2 linked regions of the Lytechinus pictus genome follow. The protein of the gene in region 2 binds, or shares a complex with, the protein of the main gene of each other region. Links are inferred from orthologs where the notes say so. Each region holds a gene or a part of one and is shown on either strand. Other genes may lie near its edges.

The links. Proteins that work in one complex are often made in the same cells at the same time.
Region 1: CCR4-NOT transcription complex subunit 1-like (region 2) and CCR4-NOT transcription complex subunit 7-like share a complex: the UniProt entries of both Caenorhabditis elegans proteins name them as parts of the CCR4-NOT complex. The link is inferred for Lytechinus pictus from reciprocal best matches to the Caenorhabditis elegans genes let-711 and ccf-1.

What each region holds. Positions count from the first base shown.
Region 1 is NW_026974140.1:8,844,842-8,852,379, forward strand, and holds the start of CCR4-NOT transcription complex subunit 7-like, read right to left. Parts: upstream 3,243-7,538; 5' UTR 3,103-3,242; coding exon 2,992-3,102; intron 1,002-2,991; coding exon 808-1,001; intron 1-807. UniProt on the Caenorhabditis elegans protein: Catalytic component of the CCR4-NOT complex which is one of the major cellular mRNA deadenylases and is linked to various cellular processes including bulk mRNA degradation, miRNA-mediated repression, translational repression during translational initiation and general transcription regulation.
Region 2 is NC_087246.1:27,747,254-27,755,505, reverse strand, and holds the start of CCR4-NOT transcription complex subunit 1-like, read right to left. Parts: upstream 3,401-8,252; 5' UTR 3,210-3,400; coding exon 3,108-3,209; intron 50-3,107; coding exon 1-49. UniProt on the Caenorhabditis elegans protein: Scaffolding component of the CCR4-NOT complex which is one of the major cellular mRNA deadenylases and is linked to various cellular processes including bulk mRNA degradation, miRNA-mediated repression, translational repression during translational initiation and general transcription regulation.

The sequences.
Region 1 (7,538 bases), on a different chromosome or scaffold from region 2:
CAAAATAAATTACAAAGACATTCAAAATTATCAAAACTTCATGATACTGTAGAAGCTTCAACAGATGACTTGATGTGCAGTATCAAGAGGGTTTTCGCAATGACAAGGTGATGCCTAAAAAAACTTGTTCACTATGTATTGAAGGTTTAGCCGAGGTTAAATTGGCATTGAATATTACACATGAATCCCATAGAAAAATGAATTCATCTGGCATGCGAAAGATAAATGCCAGTTGTGGTAACAACTTCAAAATGAGTTTGTACAGAAACCAATCAAATGACCACCCAAGTCCTTATACGAATAAAAGGAATTGTATTACTGCAGAGCAATTAGCAAAACAAGAACAAGCACTAATAATACATTGCCCCACACATGCTTATCTGTGTTGGCGATCTTCAGTGTGATCGATTTTCAGCCTAGATTTCATAATTCCACAAAGTTCAGTTTATGGAACTGTACCTGGGACCTGTTGCATAAAACTTTTGCCGTAAAAAAACTCTGGCAATTTTTTGCCAGAGTTTTTAATGTGTAAATTGCAATGGCATAATTTTGTTTGCCAGAGTTTTTGTTAATGGCAAAAGTTTTATGCAACAAGTCCCTGATCTACACCTACGATGATGTAGTGATTTTATAACTCGGTTTTAGACTTTCCCATAAAATCAGTGTTTACTGCAACTACATTCATCATTATCTTTTAAGAAGTAAGGGGCTTTTTTTTTTTAATTCTACAAATTGACATGCAGTATCTGGTGAGTTCTTGCATCAACAAAATGATGTCTCAACAGGACTCGTATCATGATGGTTTACCTGAGATTAAACCTGAAGTTGAACTGGAACGTTGAGCCCGTCTTGGGAAAATTACCCTGTTCATCACAGAAAGTAATGCCTAGCTGTATTATCTTGAGCAAGTCTACGTTGCATCGATGCAGCTGGTACTGATATTCGGAGTTGGTGCGGAACTCACCCAGTGGCCGGGCGACAACGCCAGGAAACTCTGTATCCTGGTGAAATAAGGATTTCAACAAGGGAATCACTGGTATATAGAGAGACTACATGTAGTTGACAACAAAGCATTGTAATGAATTAAGTAGCCAAGAGCAACACACAAGTGATGCTCTGTTATGCATGAATAATTCAGATTCAATTTATCATATTCTTTGCTAAAATGTGTTATAGACTAGTTTGACCTGATTTTTACAATAAGTGGAGCTATTTCATAAAGCTTCATGTATTAATGAAGTTATGCATGACTTTAACCACAACTGGTGATCTATTCTTGATCTAACTGATATGCCTCAAATATACTATTGAAACAAAATCATACTAAAAATATCATTAATTTAATACTCCTTCCCTATCAAAAGAGCCTTCTGAAAGAAATAATTTTAATGAAAATTCAATTTTCCTGATTTGTTTATCGTGGAAATGTAGTACCTAACTATAGTGAGCATTGACAACCTTACTTCAAAAGAATTTTCCCCCTGATTTTTTATTTCAACATACTGTTACCATGGCAACCCAGTGCCACACACTTATCATGGAAAATGTGTCTTGTACATCTTCACTCCAAGACGGATGTGTGCAATAAGTCTTGAGAGCAACAGGTGAAAACTGTACACAGTGACTGATTATAAATGACCTTACAAACACCCCATTCACAATGTTTGGCAGAGGTATAAAAAATGAAACAAGTGGAATGCCTCTGGCCGTCTCACCTGCATCACGCGATTCAATATAGCAGCAGTGCTGATTTTGAAAACTACTATAAATCGCACAAGATGTTCAGTGATACTTGGTTACTCTTATTTCCACGTTTTATGAACTAGACCAATACACTTATAGAGATATGATGGCAATTCAACAAATACCCCCAACGTGGCCAAAGTTCTTTGACCTTAACATGACCTTTGACCTTGATCATGTGACCTGAAACTTGCACAGGATGTTCAGTGATACTTGATTACTATTATGTCCAAGTTTTATGAACTAGACCAACACACTTTCAAATTTATGGCTGTAATTCAACAAATACCCCAATTTGGCCAAAGTTCATTGACCCTAAATGACCTTTGACCTTGATCATGTGACCTGAAACTTGCACAGGATGTTCAGTAATACTTGATTACTATTATGTCCAAGTTTCATGAATCAGATCCATAAACTTTCAAAGTTATGATGGTAATTCAACAGATACCCCCAATTCGGCCAAAGTTCATTGACCCTAAATGACCTTTGACCTTGGTCATGTGATGTGAAACTCAAGCAGGATGTTCATTGATACTTGATTAACCTTATGTATAAGTTTCATGAACTAGGTCCATATATTTTCTAAGTTATGATGACATTTCAAAAACTTAACCTTAGGTTAAGATTTTGATGTTGATTCCCCCAACATGGTCTAAGTTCATTGACCCTAAATGACCTTTGACCTTGGTCATGTGACATGAAACTCAGGCAGGATGTTCAGTAATACTTGATTAACCTTATGGCCAAGTTTCATGAACTAGGTCCATATACTTTCTAAGTTATGCTGTCATTTCAAAAACTTAACCTCAGGTTAAGATTTGGTGTTGACGCCGCCGCCGCCGTCGCCGCCGCCGCCGCCCGCCGTCGCCGTCGCCGTCGGAAAAGCGGCGCCTATAGTCTCACTCTGCTATGCAGGTGAGACAACAAAATTAAGAGTCCATGTAAAGCAGGCTTCCAGTTCCCTTTCAAACTCAGTCAAACTGCCAATTTATACCTAACGTTAGTGCACACTGTCACAATTCGCATCATGAATGAAAATGTGGTCTTGATCGTGAAATAATTGAAATTATCATTTCAGATAAGTCATTACTATTGTAGTGATCATTAAAAAATTCTGATAAGGTCAAAAAAATTTGGGATCAGCAACAGAAAGCCAATCAAGGCATTCGTAACAGATCACACGATGGTGGGAATGAGGTATAAACTGTATATTTCACAGAATGCACATAAATGAGTAATAATTACCATGGCCACATATTTGTATTTCTGTATGATGATGCGAATCTTCCTGAACACATCCTCTAAATTTGTGTTCCAAACGTCAACAATATGAGGTTCATTAGTCTGAGTTGGCATGGTGTCTGTACTTGTCAACCAGTCTTCCTTATAAAACACTCTTCAATGCTCTTCTGGCTCTTTCTCTAACTTTCTCAGCAGGTGTTATAGCATTGTATTCTCTTTGCTTTCATTAAGAATGAGTTCCTTTCCTGTGCCCTGTAATATAAAAAAACACATTGCAATATGATTTTTTTTTTATTGTAGTGTTGGTTGGAAAACTAATAGAATTCACATAATTTGGGTTTACATTCAAAATATACTTGGTAAGTTTCATACAAATAAAATGGGTTTTTTTTTCACTTAAACTTCATCATATAGATCGAAACTTATGCAAAATTTAAACTCGATTTAGGAGCATCGTGTCACATGCAAGAGTAAACATGAAACTTTCCTTTGAACGATCAAACACATTTTCAAGATTTCATTATGACACATATTTTTACCCTGAAGTTTATTGAATTCATTAATTCACTGCAAGCAGTCATGACAATTAATTAAATAAACAGCACATTTCAATTCAAATAGGTACTTTCTTAACAAGAGAGAGAGAAAAAAACAATCGCAAAATACATCAGAATTAAAACAAAGTAGATTAATAGGGGAAAGATCAAAGAAGAAATGAAAGGGAAAAAAGAAATAGAAAAGATGAAAAATGTAGAAAAGAGATCGAAGAGAAGAATGAGAAAAGGAAAAATCAAAAAAGAGGAAGGAGAAAGGTCTTCTTCTTATGGAAACAGTACAGGCCACCATCTAGTGTTTTGTCATACACGTACCAGCAGTAGAGGCGCACGGCCAATATGGGAGACTCTCTCCAATAGGGGAGACAATCTCCCACATTGGAGACTTGCTTTGCAAAAGGACAAAAGAAACAACACCAACAAAAGCATGATTTTTTCCACCCAAAATGTTGTCTCACTGAGGTCAGAAGCCCATTTGTTTTGTGTGTGATTGACAACAAAAATCCTTATCAAAACAAAAGTAGACGGTGAATTTTTAAAGTAGACGGTGAAAAGGGGTAATTTTTCATGAGGAATCTGCTTATCACATTTTTATTTGCCGCCAAGGTAATCCTTTTGCAGCAAATGTAAAAGGAAATTGGTCTCCAAAACTGGAGACTGTCTCTGAAATTGGATACCCAAATTCTATACAAAAGTCTCTGATATTGGAGATAATCTACCACTAGGGATCTTAAAAGGAAAATCTAATTTTTTAAATCTATGTTTTAAAACCATTGAAAAGTACCTCACCTGAATCAGCATATTAAAAAACCCCAAGTGAATGACTTTTAGTGTTCCAAAGAGATCTAAATATCTGTTAATCTGAGGCGAAATTAGGTCCGAATTGTGACAGATTTGTGTACAAATTTCTCTTTGAAATTTGGTCGACACGTACGCACAGAGCTCGGCACTGAACGAGGGATTGTGGGCGTGTCCTTTCTCGCCTCGGTCTATTATTACGCAAATACACAACTCGAACGAAAGTGCGTTCACCGTATCAGTTAGTCTCGGATCCGAGCTTATACAAATAAACAATGATTAAATAACAAGAAAATAATAGAAAGAAGAGAAAAGGGAAAATGAATGGCTCAAATGCAGTCGTTTGGTGACGGATAGTATGCTCTGACCTCTTGCTGATATAAGGATTAGATATGACATAAGTTTTATGCCATGGTAACTAAAGCATGAGGGGGGGGGCGAGGGCACTCTGACTTTCAAAATAATTAATTATTTAAACATCTATATCTAGGCAATTAAGGGAGGGTCCAGGATTTCCAAAGGGGGGGGGGGGGCACTATTAGCGGCGGCAGTCAACAAATTTAGGGGGGCACCAAAATTTTTGACAAAAAAAGGTTATCAAAGGGGGGAGGCCGAAAAAAAAATTTAGCCCCCCAAAAAGCTAACAACATCCCCCATAGGCAGCGGGGGGGGGGGGGGTCGTGCCCCCCCTAAATTTGAGGTGGGGGGACGATCGTCCCCCCCTAATTTTTTTTTTGATAACCTTTTTTTTTGCTTGTCAATTTTTTTTTCTGCGTGCCCCCTAAATTCCAGTGGACCCCCCTAAAAAATTCATGTGGTCTCCCCTAAAATTTGGGTTGATAAACTTTTTTGGGGGAGGGGGCTTGTCACAAAATTTTAGTGGTCCCCCTCCCTAATTTTTTTATTTCCGCTGCCAATGGCCCCACCTCAAATTTAGGGGGGACAGGGCCTATGGAGGGCACATTTTCCCGATGCAAATTTGATGAGCATTACAAAATATTTTTTAACCAAAAATTGAAAGTCATTTCGTCCCTAAAAATTGACAAGCAAAAAAATAGGGCATATATATGTATATATATCCTCACTTTCAAGGGGGCATGCTTGGGTAAAAAGGGCATGCTTATATTACAAATTACAATTTTGGCTCTCGATAATTATGCCCCTTGGATCCACCAGTAATCTAAGGGGAATTTTTTGTTTTTAGTTTTGATATGGCTACCTTCTCGGAGGGCGTCCTCGCCGCGGTAGCTGGATAGTGCTGCAAAAGAGTAGGCCTTATACATCTTTTGCAGCATTAACTGACACTCCGAGACTTATAATTTTACCTTATACTTAAAAAATGAATAATACAAAATAAAACATAAACACTTGTTTTTAGAGTAAGTTGATGTCAAAATATATTCAGTCTGGGGCATGAAGACTTGGAACTCTGCCCCATATCATTGTGCTTGCCTCGCTCGATTTGTATCATTAAAAAAAAAATAAAAAATGTTTCCACATTAAAATTTTGATCTAAGTACAATGGCCAGAAATAATAGTACGAATAAGCTAGCAGAATTTGTATCATACCAACCATATTATTGAACGCCAACGAAGGCAGTTTCTAAATCCTGTTTGCTTTATTCCACTTTGATTCATCCCTTTTGCGTGTCATATGAAAGCAGTTTTGTGCGCAGATCTAGCGTACCGGTAGGACCACATGCAGTCATTAATAGGTCTCTTTAATTTTTTTTTCAACAAATGATGTCTCATTAAAATTAATAAATTAGAATCCTTGTATATGGCCCTGGGAAGTGGGGTGCTCGGGTTGTGACCCCCAAGTTTTTTTGTTTTTGTTTTTTTAGCTGGTGGTGCGTTTTTTGTACACGTATATAGTTTAAAACAGGAAGAAGAATGACATTGATTTTTGTACCGCATTATTTTCATTAATAATTTTATTGGTAGAAAAAAAAAAAAAAACATTTTTCAAAACTATTCCGCAGCTCCTGGAAGAATGGAGAGATGGACGGAAGGAGAGAAATAAATAGGATGAAGGGGTGGATCCAGCTTTCGCCAAAGGGGGGGGGGGCCAAATTTTTTTTCACCATTATTTTTCCCCAATCGGCTGCGCGAATATGATTTATATTTGTTTCTATGAAGAAATTGTCACTTCTAAATTTTGTCTTATAAATCAACATAAATATATGATATCATAACCCTTTTTATATAATGCGAGCTAATTTATTTTAAAAAATTATGTTTTTCCCCAAAGTTTGAAATTTCTGGGCAATGTTTATCATGAAAAAGATGTGTATGCAACTAAATAATCACTAAGAACGCAAAGCGCGAACAGAATTGAAATCATAGGCACTTTTTGTAACTTAAACAGGATAGGTATATAACTTAGCAATTGATGCGAAGCGCGAGCACAAAATTTGAAGATTTAGACCTAAAAACGAGACATGTCTAGTCATGTCTTTTAAATCATCATGGAAAGGATGTCAAATTGCCGATCTTTGTTACCTTAATAATGCTCGCGCAAAGCGCGAGCATAATATTTTTGTATACGTTTTGAACTGATCAAAAAGGTACCTGTTAAGGACTGCTTATTTCACTTAGCCATGGAGACGTTACATATTTCAACAATAAAATAATGCAAGCGCGAGCCAATTTTTTTTTTACACTTCTACATAAAGAATGGAAAATTGTAATCAATTATTGTGACCATGAACAGGATCGTCGCTATAAAACAATTAATGCGAGCGCGAAGCGCGAGCGGGAAAAAAAATCGAGATTTAGACCTAAAAAATGGGACACTCTATTCATGTTTTGTATAATAAGGATGAGCAATAGGGGTTCTTCCTACATAAAAAATGCGAGCACAAAGCGCTAGCAGAATTTTGTTTTTCAGAAACTGGATAATGATTGAAATACTAACAAGTTGAGTATCTAGATAGACATGCGCTCGCGTGTTTCCGATTTAGGCCTACAATCTAGGCATTCTGAATATATATTTTAACATGAAATTGAAAATCAAAGCGAGCGCGAAGCGCGACCTTAAAATATTTGACATTCTGATCTGAAAAAGGGGTCAATTTCAGCTCAAGTACTTTGTGAGGTGGATTTGGATCGCACTTAATAAAGAGCTGATAGATTTGACAAAGGACCGGGAAAGTGATGAATATCTTCCTATTCCTCTTGCTAAGCGCGAGATGAAAC
Region 2 (8,252 bases):
GGCAGCGCAGCAGGTGCCTGTCTGCCTCTGGCCCGTTGTGAGAAACGAGCTGGAAGAAAATCAAGAACAAAAACCATTTTTTTAAAATCATTATTTGCATTATACACCAAGGTGCAACAGCATTAGTGCTTTAAGCAGTTGTCTAAATATTCTTTCTTGATCGTGAGCAGTGGATTCCATTCTCTAATTTCCAGTTTTGTCTATTAAACCATCCTCAACAACTTTGGTGTGGGTGACAAAGATATCTGGAATAAATTCCAAGAAATCTGATGCTGTATCAAACTTTTTGAAAAGAAATGATATAAACAATTGAAACCAAGCATGCAGTGATATGAGTGTCCTACTGAGTGATTGGCCCTTTGACATTGAGCATGTGCTTTCCATGATAGCCAAGATGGCGGTGTAACCATTGGCAAAATTTTCTTTCGGTTCCTAAAAGGTCTAGCATTTTGCAAAGGAAAGTCAGATTTTGATATCATTTTGTTAACTTAAAGGACAAGTCCACCTCAATAAAAAGTTGATTTGAATAAAAAGAGAAAAATCCAAAACACTGAAAACTTCATCAAAATCGAACCTAAAATAAGAAAGTTATGACATTTTAAGGTTTCGCTTAATTTTCACAAAACAGTTATACACACATCCTGGTCGGTATGCAAATGAGGAGACTGATGACATCATCCACTCACTATTTCTTTTGTATTCTATTACATTAAATATTCTAATTTTCTCCTCATTGTCAAGTGAAACAACGCTTGATTCCACCATGAACAGTTGGAACTAGCATTGCTTAAAACTATATGATTCAGTCGAATTAGTCCCTATTGTCAAACCTGTAAAAAATGAAATATTGTATAATTCAAACAATAAACAAGTGGAATGCCTCTGGCCGTCTCACCTGCATCACGCGATTCAATATAGCAGCAGTGCTGATTTTGAAAACTACTATAACTCGCACAAGATGTTCAGTGATACTTGGTTACTCTTATTTCCACGTTTTATGAACTAGACCAATACACTTACAGAGATATGATGGCAATTCAACAAATACCCCCAACGTGGCCAAAGTTCTTTGACCTTACATGACCTTTGACCTTGATCATGTGACCTGAAACTCGCACAGGATATTCAGTGATACTTGATTACTATTATGTCCAAGTTTTATGAACTAGACCAACACACTTTCAAATTTATGGCTGTAATTCAACAAATACCCCAATTTGGCCAAAGTTCATTGGCCCTAAATGACCTTTGACCTTGATCATGTGACCTGAAACTTGCACAGGATGTTCAGTAATACTTGATTACTATTATGTCCAAGTTTCATGAATCAGATCCATAAACTTTCAAAGTTATGATGGTAATTCAACAGATACCCCCAATTCGGCCAAAGTTCATTGACCCTAAATGACCTTTGACCTTGGTCATGTGATGTGAAACTCATGCAGGATGTTCAGTGATACTTGATTAACCCTATGTATAAGTTTCATGAACTAGGTCCATACATTTTCTAAGTTATGATGACATTTCAAAAACTTAACCTTAGGTTAAGATTTTGATGTTGATTCCCCCAACATGGTCTAAGTTCATTGACCCTAAATGACCTTTGACCTTGGTCATGTGACATGAAACTCAGGGAGGATGTTCAGTAATACTTGATTAACCTTATGGCCAAGTTTCATGAACTAGGTCCATATACTTTCTAAGTTATGCTTTCATTTCAAAAACTTAACCTCAGGTTAAGATTTGGTGTTGACGCCGCCGCCGCCGTCGGAAAAGCGGCGCCTATAGTCTCACTCTGCTATGCAGGTGAGACAAAAACAAAAGAAATAGCGAGTGATGGACATCATTGACTGTCTCATTTGCATGTCACTAAGTTGTGCATACTTATCACTGTTTTGTGAAAAATAAGCGAAACTTTAAAATGTCATAACTTTCTTATTTTACATCCGATTTTGATGAAATTTTCAGCGTTATGCTAGTTTGATTTTTCTCTATTTATTCAAATCTACATTTTTCTGGGGTGGACTTGACCTTTAAAGCAGGCAGAATTAATATAATTTTACAAGTTTCATTTTTTCATCTGCTGGCGGGAAATTCTTAGGCCTTGTCATGCTTATGTAGAACAGTATTTTTTGTGACCTGCGCTCTTTGATCGATTACAAACAAGCGCCAGGAGTCTAAAATTAGAAGAGATATTCTCACATTAGCAAACGATTAATTCTCCAAATGCCTGGCTGAGACTACTCTTCTTCTAAAACATGCAAATTATGCTAGCGCAAATAATCACTGCTGAATGATATGCGCCGTATAATTATAAATGAAACAACAATGTCAATGCATGCCAAAGCAAAATCAGACCTGTTCTTGTTTCATTCTTTCGGCCTTCGGCCCCGGGTGATGGTCAGAACTCAGAATTCAGAACGATGATTTACATGTACATTGGCCAGAGTAAATAAATTGGTTTTCATCCTATTTTTTTACACTCTGCAGTCATAGCAAATGAGGAATTGCAAATGAAGATATGGCAGTCGACAGTCAACTTGATTCTTTTTTTTATTATGTTGTTTTCAACACTTACCGGTAGTCGGTACTTTGTCATCATCCTAAATCAAATTGATGAATAGATTTATGGCTAATCAGAACCGCAATAATAATATTCCGCATTTATATAGCGCTTAACACATCGGAACGACGTCTCTAAGCGCTTTACAGATATATTATTACCCCGGCCCGGTCATCGGATCCTTGCATTGATTCTTTTGTATGGGATTGAAAAGGGGGCCGGGGGCAAGCAAGCTACATGTAGCTCCGCGCACCGCAGTCTCGAGTGCGCGGAGCAAGCTTGCTTGCCCCCTTTTCGATCCCAAAACGCAATCCGCCTCTGTCTCTGTTCTGAGCGTCGCGATATTAATGAATCCATGATCAGTGACACTGACCAGCTGACAGTGTCATGAAAAATGAATTTTTTTGTTGTCATTTTAAAATCCAAATGAAGACCAAAATTAATCCTGAAGCGTTCTAACTTCATGAATATTTTTAAGACAAACAAAAATTACATAATTTTTTTTTACTCAACCAACGACATCTATAAACGTTACTTTACTTACGCGAGAGATTTCCCCGACACTTTGCTTGTAATTCTTTTTGTTGAGATTGGCCACAAGATTGGTAATCTGAGAAAAGGCCAGCGACAGGGAATCCAGATTCATTATTTCATTCTTTCAAGTTGTAGATCATCAAGTGGGCTGAAATGTCCCCCCGCTGATCCCGTAGATACTGTAGAAAACTATAAGCAAGTGAAAATTCCGATCAGTAATTTTGTTCGGTAAAATATTTGGTGGTTTTTGACGATATCTAGGACACCTTTTCCGGTGCCATATTGCTGTTTCAGGTCAAAGAAGTTGCCAATTTGAAATACTCGTAAACATTTTGACATCAAGCTTATGTTATATTTTATAAGACATGAATTTTAAGCTTTAAATTAAATTAAGCTTAATTTTTAATAAATTGCAATTAAGTGACTATTCAAATGATTAATTCAACATATAAAAATAATACCAATAATAGTTTTAAATTAGGCCTACGAATACGTCTTTCTGTTCGGTTCGGTTCGCGTTTCGTTAATCGGTCACAATCACTCAATGGTTTCGGTTTACTCATCTACATGATCTCAACGTGCAGCAGAGTGGCAGTAATGTCAGTAAAGGGCTGAGTCATAGTTAGAGATGTATAATTTGAATTGATTAGAGTTCAGTTCAAATCAGTGGCGTAACTACATGGGGGACCCCCCCCCCAACAATCGGCTGCCCCCCAAAAAAAAAAACGGGGGGGGGAGAAAAAGAGAAACGTATAGTGGGGAAAGAAGAAATTTATATTATATTATTTTTTATAAACCTCAATGTCGAATAATCCGTTCCTCTGATTGGTCAAAACGGAGGTCATGTAAACGACCATGCCTTCAAAACAACAAACTAAGGTGGTAACCAAGGGCAACGGGCATAGTTAACAAGAATACTGCCCGTTGCCCCCTGATCCGCCCCTTAACGACGGGCATAGCAAAATTTGGCTGAAATCCCCATTTGATTGCATGCAAAATGTTGCTTTCTGCGGTGATTACGGATACCATAAATATCCGCGCGATTTGATCGAAAGTTTTAGACAATTCGCGCATTTACGCGCTTATTGCGCAAGTGCGCGCAACGGATATGACATATCGATGGAACGATGCCGATCTTTGACTTTTGCTTGTTAATTCCTGTTAAAATATATGGCATTTATTGAAAATAAAACTAGCTTATTAAGGACATAACGGATGTATATCAATCATCAAGTCTTGGGGAAGTTCGCTCAAATGCATGCTCGCAAATAGTGAGTCAGGTGAAAAGATTAGACGGTCACTGCACTTTCTAACAATAAACGTTTAACTCGTTCATGTCGTTACTTAACCTTAGCCTGGGACAATTGTCGTTAGCTTAGAAGTTAAGAGTAGACTCTAGATCTAACGTTAGGACGTAGGTTTAGTCGACTAGATCTAACGTTAGATTATACTCTAGTCTAAATTTTAAGACTGAACTTTAGATCTAGCTACATGCACTGTAGGCCCTAGACCCTATTCAGAATCAGACCCTAATTTGGTTCCTAAAAATATCTAGCCTAGGCCTAGTAGGGACTATCGGTATGAACTGCTCGGGAACTGCTTTGATATTCGATTTTGAGACCTAACTTCAGGGCAGGGCTAAGTAAGGGCCTAGACCTTACGTTAGCTTTGGGCCTAGGCCAGGGGCAGGCTTTTTTGTTTTAGTTTTACTAGATCTAAACCTAGACCAGGCCCTAACGTTTATGTTTAATAATTCGGTTCATAAAATATATATGGACTGCTTTTATATTCGAGACATGTTGGTTGTTTCAATTCGGCTCGCGGGTACCGCACTCGGCCAGACCATGCCCTCGGGCATAGTCGCGTTGCGGTCCCCTTGAGCCTCTAGAAACAACCATGCCTCTCAAAGCCATATATCTATATTATATCATATCATTATCATAACCTATAAAATTCTTCTGATAGCATATCGTGCGCTGACCTTCTCTTCACCAGAATACATCTCATCTCTTCTTGATTTTCGCAAACCTGGTCGCTCTGGTCTTCGCTCTTCTAAGACTTCTTTTGATCTCTCTATTCCCAAAACCAGACGGTCATGGGGAGATCGTGCATTTGCATCAGCAGCTCCCCGTCTATGGAACAATCTTCCAACTAAACTAAAAGACTGTAGATCAGTAGAACATTTCAAGGCCAGTTTGAAAACTTATCTAATGGCCAAATTGTAAGTTGTACCAGTAGTGAGTTAAGTTTATTGTAAGCGCATTGAGCACCCCTAATAGGGTGGATATGTTTTGCGCATTATAAATGTCTTATTATTATTATTATCATATCATATCATATCATATCATATCATATTATATTATATTATATTATATTATATTATATTATATTATATTATATTATATTATATTATATTATATTATATTATATTATATTATATTGTATTGTATTGTATTGTATTGTATTGTATTGTATTGTATTGTATTGTATTGTATTGTATTGTATTATATTATATTATATTGCATAAGATTTTTTTCTTCATAACTTTATGAAACGTAATTTGCTTTGGGCCTATGTGTTCATCATTCCTGGTGCTTGCATTATCTGTTTAATGAGATTTATAATACTGTTTATACTAAAGCATCCCGTTTTCTAGTTAATATACACAATATTTCCTCGCACTTCGAGTTATTATTGTTTTATATAGTGACATATTCTTCTTTTTCATGACTTATTTAAGTGATTTCCTCCTTTTAAGGTCTGAATATAAAACATTTCCAGTTCGTGCTTGCGTTCGCATTAGTGGATTGGTGAGATCTGATCATTATATGAATTCCTAAAAACAGTCCTTTCAAAAATGTTCATGTTCATGATTACAATGACTACAAAAAGTGCTTCATGTGTTTAGGTCTTTGGTTTAGGTGTAATTCTAACAAAACTCAGCAAGTGCTTGGCGCTCGCATTAGATGACTATGGTGAGATATGTATGCTCTCATGAATTCCTAAAAGATAGTCCTTAAATGTCCCCTTTTTAGGTCCGAATATATCAAAACTTTTCAGTTCGCGCTTCGCGCTCGCATTATCTGATCAGTGAGATACATATCGGGTCCTTGTCCTTGAAATGTATTTATTATAGGTCAGTATAATAGGCAATTGGGCTTGGGGATATATGATTTGATTGATTTGATTTATTTATTTCCACATTCCAATAACAAAAGTATATATACACAAGTGTAATCACTTTTTCTTAGCATAACATAACAATAAGCAAATGACATAATGAATAACATATGCATATATATATTCAATTGAATTGAATTGAATTGAATAATTCAAACAATCTAATTTGAATATATTTATACCTGATGATTTTTTTTAATTATCATTAAAACAAATAGCAGAAAAAATAAATAATTCATTTTGAAATGTGGGAGACCTCCATCTTAAGCTTAGAGCTTGAAATTGATAAAGGCCTCAAAGGGAAAGGGGAAAACCAGACAAACAGTGCAATAAAAGAGACTTATATATTATTGCACAAAATAATAGGAATATTACAAAAAAGTAGATAGGGAAAGAAAAATTCAAATGAGAAAGTTATAATCATGTTGATAAAAGTGAAAGTGCAAGTGTGCGAGAGTGCAAGTGCGGGGGGGGGGTTGTAATATCGGTTGGTACGAAACACACAGAGATTTTAGGTATTATATATATTAACAGTGTATTTCTCTTCAAAACAGCATTGAGAGAATAAAGTGTAGAGCATAACTTAATGTCAGGTGATAAATACCCCCCACTTTTCGGAGAGAGGGCTCGGGGTAGCATGTTCAATCATCCCCACACTTTTCAAGACAGAAGTGATATTTTTGTTTAAATCACAAATACTGTACTAACTAAGTGTTTAAACTGGCCTAATTTTGCATTCTAAAAATTCTCGCGCGGCTGCTCCGCTCCCGCGCTCAATATATTCTTACATCATGGATGTATGGTTATAATCAGTCCATTTATGAATACATGATTCAAATGAATTTTAAATGTAATTATAACTTTAATCATAAACGAATCAAAGGGTGAAATATCGGATGGTCTAATACCACTTGGTCTACTTATCAGTTCGTCCAACTTAGTCTAAATATATTTTAAACCCATTTCTTCTATAACCAGTTCGTCTAATTCCCACTTGGTCTAATATTCAATTCGTCTAATGAACAGTTGGGCTAAAACCATTTAGTCTAATTTCCAGCTGGTCTAACAGCACTTGGTCTAATTTCCACTTCGGCTAATTTCCACTTGGTTTAATTTTTTAAAAAGTTATGCAGTTTGGGGAATTCCAAAAGTTACAAATAAGACATTAGATCATTTAATTTTGTTTTGAATATTTTGTTAGAAGTCATTCATCTTATTTTCTCATTCTGTTTTTTTTTTCTACCTCTTCGCCTCATCCTACTTAAAATGGATGGGGGGGGGGGGGGGGCAACGGGCGCACGATCCCTAACATATGAATGTTGTCCCCAACAAAATATTTGAAAGAATTTGCAGTTTTGTATGTGGTAGCAAAATAAATTTGTTGTCGATGTCGTATGTTTTTTCCACCCTTTTCTTTTCGTTTCCTTTCCCTATATTTTTCCGTTTTCTTTCTCCCCCTTTTACCTTTTTCCCTTCTCTTTCCCCCTTCCTTTCTTCTCCCCTCTCACTAAATTGTTTTCTCTCTCATTTTCCCTCCCTCCCTTCCAGTGGCGTAGCTACGGGGGGCCTGGGGGCACGTGCCCCCCCCCTGAGATTTGGTGTGCCCCCCAGGTTCCCCCCTGAAAAAAATTGGCAGAGCAAAAAAAAAAAAAGGAGAAAGAAAAAAAAAAGGAAAAATCCAAAAAATGAAAATGAAAAACAGAAGAAAAAAGAAGAGGAAAATAAGAGGAGGAAGACGAGTGAATGAAATAATGTGAAGGGAAGACTTGCAAAAAAAACCAAACTTTTGCTTGCGCTTCGCGCCAGAATTGCCTGTTCGATGAAATTCATATCTTGCTCAATAGGCTGATATGGAGCAAGTTTTGAAGTCAATATACAAAATATATTTTAGCTCGGACATCGAGCTCTCATCAATTTTTTTTCATTAACAAATTTAAGTGTTCTAGCTGTAAAATGTCCCTTTTATAGTCTACAT